2 linked regions of the Arabidopsis thaliana genome follow. The protein of the gene in region 1 interacts with the protein of each later gene in a pairwise test. Each region holds a gene or a part of one and is shown on either strand. Other genes may lie near its edges. The genes, in order: PERK15 and DWF1.

The links.
Region 2: the proteins of PERK15 (region 1) and DWF1 interact in a protein complementation assay, tested with the Arabidopsis thaliana proteins (one large-scale study listed by BioGRID).

What each region holds. Positions count from the first base shown.
Region 1 is NC_003070.9:19,470,315-19,474,244, forward strand, and holds the start of PERK15 (Protein kinase superfamily protein), read right to left. Parts: upstream 2,269-3,930; 5' UTR 2,049-2,268; coding exon 1,712-2,048; intron 1,635-1,711; coding exon 1,284-1,634; intron 1,199-1,283; coding exon 1,112-1,198; intron 1,030-1,111; coding exon 959-1,029; intron 882-958; coding exon 805-881; intron 716-804; coding exon 565-715; coding exon of another isoform or gene 500-564; coding exon 338-499; intron 231-337; coding exon 1-230.
Region 2 is NC_003074.8:6,880,568-6,884,497, forward strand, and holds the start of DWF1 (cell elongation protein / DWARF1 / DIMINUTO (DIM)), read right to left. Parts: upstream 1,749-3,930; 5' UTR 1,645-1,748; exon of another isoform or gene 1,062-1,644; 5' UTR 1,050-1,061; coding exon 1-1,049. UniProt on the Arabidopsis thaliana protein: Plays a critical role in the general process of plant cell elongation. Involved in the synthesis of campesterol, an early precursor of brassinolide.

The sequences.
Region 1 (3,930 bases):
CTAGACGAGCCTGATGGGTTCTGACCATTGTCGCTAGTCAAACCACTGCATTCGCTGCTACCAAATGTTTTGCTTTCGAACGCCATTTTCTTGAATTTCTTCAAGTCTTCTTTGTATTGTGTTGAGCTATAATCTGAGCTCCCGTCTAAGCTGTAAATAGTACTTTGTCCTGGGGCAGCTCCTTCTGTTAGGTCATCTATAGATATATTTCCTTCGAATGCTCGAACTATCTGCAATTGTCCAAAGAACAATGACACCATTGAACTCACAAAGTTTCATTTTTTATCCTAGTGTTAGATTGAATGTTGCCAAAAGGTTTTGATGTGATAGTTAGTACCTGGCTCATTTTTGGGCGACGTTTAGCTGAATGACGGACACTAGCAGCAGCGCAAGCAACCATTCTCGTCATTTCGTTGATATCAAAATCATTCTCTAACCGCGGGTCAACAAGACCGTCAAAGTTTCCATCGTTTAACGCTTGTATCATCAGAGGTTTTGCCTAGAGCATGAGGTAAAGTTTAAAAGCTTATTAAAAGTGGTGGTAAGGGAAACAAGATAACCAACCCAATCAACGATGCTATCATCATCAGCAAAAGGCTGTGATTTATCAACAGGACGGCGTCCGGTTATCAGTTCAAGAAGCACCACTCCAATTGAGAAGACATCTGATTTCTCAGTAAGTTTCCCTGAAGAAGCATATTCAGGAGCCAAGTAACTGCATCACAAGAAAGAAGTTTAAAAGATTGTTAGTATGTTATGAACTTATTATGGTTATGGTTGCGTATAGAAAAGAGTGTTTCGTACCCGAAGGTTCCCATAATCCGAGTGGAGACATGAGTATCAGTGTCTAAAGAAGACCTGGCAAGTCCAAAATCTGCTAACTGATGAACCAAGTTCAGCATTATTAGTAGTGCAGTCTAAACAACATTTTTATATAGTTTTACAAGTTCAAGAATACCTTCGCCTCATAGCTATCGTCAATTAGAATATTTGCAGCCTTGACATCGCGGTGTATTGTCTTAGGATTACCTGAAACAAAACAAAATCTCCTTGACAAAAACTTCAGAAACTAATGTTGTACAATACTCAAAGACAAGAACATTATACTCACAATCTTCATGTAAGTATGCCAATCCTTTAGCTGCACCCAAAGCAATCTTCATCCTCTTTGACCACTCCATTACCGGTCTCTCTTTCTCTACAAAACAACCACCATAATTCAAACAAAACTGCGGGAATTCACGCAAGCATAACTGAAAACAAGTCTTTTAAAAAAAACTCACCGTGTAAATGAAATTCGAGAGTCTTATTAGGCACAAACTCATAAACAAGCAATCTTTGAGCACCAGTGATACAATAACCAAGAAGAGAAACAAGATGCCTATGATGAACTCTACTAATAGTCTGTATCTCAGCTTGAAACTCTCGTTCACCTTGTCCACTTCCAGATTTAAGCTGCTTAATAGCAACCAAAGTTCCATCAACAAGAACTCCTCTATGAACATAACCAAACCCACCTTGTCCAAGAAGGTTAGTGTTGGAGAAGTTACTAGTTGCTTTAGACAAATCTTCATATGTAAACAAGTTTTGTCCAATCTCTGATGAACTCCATTGCTGAAGATTATTGCTATCATCTACAAAAACAGAGGAATTGAATAATCATTAAAAAAAGATTGAGTCTTTGGAAATAAAGAAACCCTAAATAAAGTACCTTTGGGATCTAGTGAGTCTCTGTTAATAGAAGCTTCGATATCTTCTTTCTTCTTCTTCTTTAACTTCCTCTTCTTTCTTTTATAGAAACAGACAAAGATACAAACTCCGAGTAGGACAAACGTAGCTCCGAGAACTACTCCAGTAATAAGTCCAGTTAATGCTACATTTCTCGAGCCTCCATCAATGTTTGTTGTTGTCTCCGGAAACGGAGCCAACGAAGAAGGTCCGATGATGGATGGCTGAGACGGAGCTGGTGACGTCGCCGTGTCTGGTGTGGTGGAAGGAAACTCCGGCGCCGGTGGAGATGAGAGGGAAGGGATAGTGTCGGTAGACATTAGATCAGAAGATGATGAGGATGATTTGGTTTTTCAGGCGTGTGTGCAGGTTTTTCTCATGGCGGAAGTGAAGACGAAGACGAAGACGAAGAAGACGAAGACGAAGGAGAATGAAGAAAGGGACATGCGGTGGGTCCCGTCCCACTTGAGAGATTTGTTCTTCTGGCAAGTGTCTCTTTAATTCTCTCGTCACTCTGTTTCTCAGTTAGTCAGTTAACACTTACCAACCATCAAAAGAAGAACTAATAAAGAGCCAAATTCATCTTATGTTTTTTATTTAAAAATATAATCATTAAGTCAACATTTTTAAAATAATAAAATTTACTAATGATTTTTAGAATCTTTAAGAAAAATTTACCATATAAGTCAACTTTTTTGCTTTTTTTTTTTAAAAAAAAAATTTTAAAATTTTTATACACAATTTTTTATATGATTTTGGATGACTCGATACAATATGTCAAATTAGAACTTATTTTATACGGACTAAACTAGCCTATATTTTCAAGTTTGACTAATTTTAGAGAAAAACTAGTCCAGCCAAAAAAAATTAGTCTAGTAAATATTCAATTCGATCGGATTTTTTTGCAAAAAATAAAAAAATAAAAAATCGATGGAATCAAATTCCGACTTTCTAATCCACAGTAAAATTGTTTCGGAAAAATCCGATTTCATGAAAATAATTTTTAGATCTAATTTTTATGGTGTTTTTATAACTAAAATTTTTTTAAAACTATAAATCAAATTTATTTTGTAAAATTAATATTATAATGTATATAGTAAAATTATCTAATCAAATTTATACTTACTACTGTATAAAAACAAGCACGACTACATAAGTATATTCACATTGTCTTGTCTGCCATTAATTTTTTTGTCTTTAAAAGTAAAAAAGAATCAAAGGGACCAACAAAAGATATGAAAAAACATACTAGTACTACTATTTACCGTGATCTTTGGTTTGTGGATTGTATCTCTCCCTAAGGTACCCATCAAGTTGAGAATTATTGAATTCTTTGAACAACTAATTCCACATCATTTTCCAAGTATTGTATCTTGGTATATGCATTCTCCTTCTATTTTTTGTTTGCTCAATAAATTGTACGCGGTGAAGCCAGCCAGATACCCGGTTTATTAACCAATCCTATGCTTCCGGAGTTTTTTTTATGTTAATCATTTACATAATAAAAAGAAAAACAATTAATGTGGTAGGGTACGGACGACAAGTAGGTAATCAATGGAAGCAATTATCAGGAACCATATATATTTGACAGAAGAAATATAATAACCGAAAACAATTACGTTTTCACAAGGAAAAACACAAAACGAAATCTCATCCAACAATGTTTTCAAGACAAAATCTGTGAATCAAGGATTACTAATAATGGAAATCCATTGCTTTGTTATGCATCAAAAAAATTTATATAGATTTGGCAATGCAATCTCAAGATCATTTTAATGATAAGGTTAATTGGGAAAAATAATCGTATTTGTCTTTGGTACGAATAGAAACCAAAACAACTTCGAATTAAACCATATCAAATTTCAAGTCACAGCTCAATAGTAAATTGCAAAACAGCAAACAACACGAACCATTTTGTGATAACCAAGAGTCAACAAAGAAATGCATTTTTTTTTTTCTTGGGTTTCACACAATGGTTGTTTTTGTTGGTTCTTTATAGGTTGAGTTATGCAAAATAATTTTTGTTACGTTCAAAACGAGGAAGAAAAAAAAAATTAGGTGTGGTGTGGTTCAAAGAATTGTCATCCAGTGTTAAAAAAACATTTTTTACATAAGTTTTTGTAGAATATTTGAGAAATTTCATTTTTAGAATATCCATTTTCAAAACTACTCTTACCTTTTATACATTATTCTACTTCGCTT
Region 2 (3,930 bases), on another chromosome or scaffold:
ATAAGCTTCCCTTCCCAGTACAAGCACCTTGTGTGCCTGTGGTAGTATTCACGAGTTGGGATGTACTCAACAAACTGTCCCTTTTTCAGGGCGGTCTGCGCGTGCTGGTAGAACCACGGCTTGAACCACCATCCCACATTGTTGATTTTGTTCCCTTTCTTCTTTGCCTCTTCTTTAGATGCATATGTTCCAACCATCATCACTCCTTCCGTTGGATTGTAAACCATGCCTTCGACGAAATCCGGGATTTTCGACTTGTCACCGTCTTTGGGAGCAAAAGAATCAATGTAACCTTGAGCTAAGGCTTGAAGATCACCCTTGACTGGTATGTAAGTGAGTCTCATGTACTCCTTGACTTTAATAAGCCTGATCTCAGCAGCTACAAGGAGTCCAAGAGTTCCTTGCGACCACGGGATTGCGTAGTAAAGATCAGAATACTCATTATCCCTTGTGGCGCGGACAAGCTCTCCACCCGCAAGAACAATCTCGTAAGCCTCAACGGTATCAGCAAACAAACCGTAGATGTGAGAGCTTCCTTCAATACCATATCCATTGATAAGTCCACCAACGGTAAGGTCATCAAGCTCAGCAACAACAGCGAGAGACAGGTTCATTGGGACGGTAGCACGGGAAATCTGTCCCATGTTAACAAGAGGCTCCACTCTAGCAGTCATCTTCTCCTTGTTGATCTCAAGGATGTTACGGAACTCCCCCAAGTCAACCTCGAAATGCCGGGCTCTCTTGTAGTCAACGTTCCTCATTCCAACAGCGATCCAGGGCTTACGAGCAGTGCAGACAAGCCCGTCCTTGGAAGCATCCCTACCCTTAAGCCTTTTGATGACTTTCTTGACATTCTCGTCGTGTTCCTTCTGACGTTTCTCAAAGGACTTGGACTCTGACCACATGTCCCCGAGGTAGATGAGGAAGTAGAATGTGGCTGAGAATGGAAGGACGATGAAGATGACAATGATCCATCTGAACTTGACAAAGTAATCAACCCAAGTCTTCTTCCTCTTGGGCCTCACAAGCGGTGTCTGAAGATCCGACATTTCCTCTCCTCACTGCATCAAACCAAAAAGAAAATCAAATCAACCAGAGTTTCAAAATCCATCACTGTAAAAGTCAACAAGGCCTAAGAAGTGAGCATAAATCTACCAGAATGTCAAAAATACTAAAGATTAGTTTCTTGAATCCAAAAAGAGTATAATAAGCACACATAAACACATACGTATACACACATGTGTATCAGTGTATGTGTATGAAATAAATCTGTAAGAAGAAGATAGTGTGGAGTCCATGGAAACAGAGAGCTAGTGAACAGAGAGACAAAAAGACATGAAGTTATGTTCTGAAAGAACAAGAACACAGAAAATGGTTATAATCTTTAGATCTACACATCTAGTATTCCTACAAAGCCATCAAAGTCTGTTTTCTACCACCAAAATAAATAAATAAAAGTTGGTGAGCAAAGTTTGAAACTTTGTTTGAAATTCTCCAAGACTGAGATGATTAAAATTAAAAAACCCACATAGTTCACTAGTGCGTGCTATGAAACAACTATGAACCAAGTACTGAGAGATCTAACGACAGGAAATGATAAGTCAGCGACTGAGACAGAGAGAGAAAGAGAGGTAGAGAGAGTACCTGAAGAATCCAAAGGAGAGAGAGAGTGAGAGGATGAGATGTGAAAGTGTCCCCAAGAGTGTGAGAGCATTTGTCTTTATAATAAAACGTGATTCAAGCCAGCCTGCTTCACTTGCATTTTTCGCTCAAAACAAGGTATTTTTTATTTCCCATTTTTTTATATAATTTTAAAATAAAAAAGGTAATAATAACGCAAAAATATAGAAATTAAGAAATATATAATGTATATTTTTCATGGGTTTGTATAAGTGGTTTTTCATATTTCTAAGTTTCTTTGTTGTTATCGCAATTAAAAATTCGATGTTAGTTGTAATGTTGATAAATCACATGTGTTATATTTATGAGCAATTTTTTAGTTTATAATTCTGATGTAAGAAAATAAAAATAAATTGTTTTTACTTATATCAGTATTTAATATATTTTTACCAACTCTTTTAACATTTAGAAATTATATGTAAATCGAACCTAGAGCTTAATTAGACATATCTTCCAAAATATAATTTCTTACTTAGCAGTTAGCATATAAAAGGAATATGAGGACAAATTCTTTGTAGGGATATTTTTTCTGAAAAGAGTTTACTGCTATAAATAGGTAAAAGCAAATAAATAAAAAAAGGCAACAAATCTTAGCAGTTTAAATTTCTTTTAAATAGAAAAATATATCTTTCTTTTGGTATGTAAATCACAATAAATTACAGGAAGACATGTGCCCAATGAAGGAAATGTAATTGTCCAATTCGTTTTTTTTTTAAATGCATTTTATGGGTTGATTGTATTGATTTTTGTTTTCTAAATGCTTTTAGCGAAACAGTCCTCCTACATGTTTGTTGATGTACCTAAAGCACATTCCATCCTCGTGAGGTTACTAAGCCGACGATCTTATATATTGTTTATTGGCAAAAAGTTCATTACAACTTTTCTTATCATAATAGTTATTACAACAATCTTTAACATTTAGTTTTGATATGTTATGATTGAAGCAAAAAAAGCACTGCCTAAAATATCTTGAAAACATTATACATTATGAATGCTAATGAGAGTTCCTTATATCTTTCTCTCAACTCTTAAGGGATCTTCAAATGAGTGTTTTTTTTAAGCCAAAACAATTGTGAATTAGTCATTCACTTTCATCTTATTCAGATTACAATGTAGTATTTTAGAAACTAATGTGTAGTAAAAAATTTTATATAAAATGCCTCTTATTTATATAAAAAAAAAAACTACGGCTGTGATGAGAAATGTTTTCCCAAATCCCAATAGCCATGCTTTTCATCAAAATTCATATATGAAATCATTTGTATCATTATCAGTGCCTACATAATACAGTAATAAACACACAAACTATCACGTTATTTGGTGAAAAAGGCTCTCAATATATAATTCTGTTACTGTAACCAATTATTTGATTTCCACCTAAGTATTTTAATAGTTGATTTAGAAAAGCAAATAAAATCATGATTTATTTAGAAAAATGGTTACACTTTAAAGTAATGAAGTGCTCAAAAAGTTTTTTTTGTCGCCAAAAAGTAATTATTTATTTATTTGACATAGAAAGAAAAAAAAAATTACAGGGATGATGGCCTGTCTGAGAAAATATCCAGCTCTTGCAAAATCTCTCATAAAATATATTTACTCTTTAAAATATGCCAACTAATTTCTTACTCACATTTACAGCTACAAATCATTTTTTTGTAGTATGGAAAAATAAATGTCTATTTGGCGAATCACACCTTTTGACATTGACAGTTTGACGTCAGTGAAAATTTGGTTGACGCTTGACAAAGTTTTAAACCGTTACAAGGTCGTGTAATCACACCAATGTTTACATTACAAGAAACACCAATTTGTTTATATATATATCCAAATACAAAGACATTACTCTTTGGTCCAACGCCAAATAAACCCATGCGTCATTTCTGCATCAACAAAAACCGTCTTTGTCCATTCCATTAGTACCTAAAAAAGTGTGAAGAAGCCAGAGACAACAACCCACATAAATTATGATTTGTTAAGATTGAAGCGTATTATGACTAAACACTTCTCTTGAAGTAAAAAAATTAAAAAAAAAAAAAAAGGTGAAAGAAAAAGACAAAAGAGAACGGAGAAACCGAAGAGAGGAGAGTTGAAGATAACAAATCTATAAACGAGGACTGTCCTACTCCCCACATGTGCCTGACGTGATCTCAACTCCTTCACGTGATTTCTCTTCCTCATTTTTTGTAATTTTATTACTAATTCTCCATTTTTTCTCACTTCTTATTAATCCCTTTTTATTATTCAAATTTT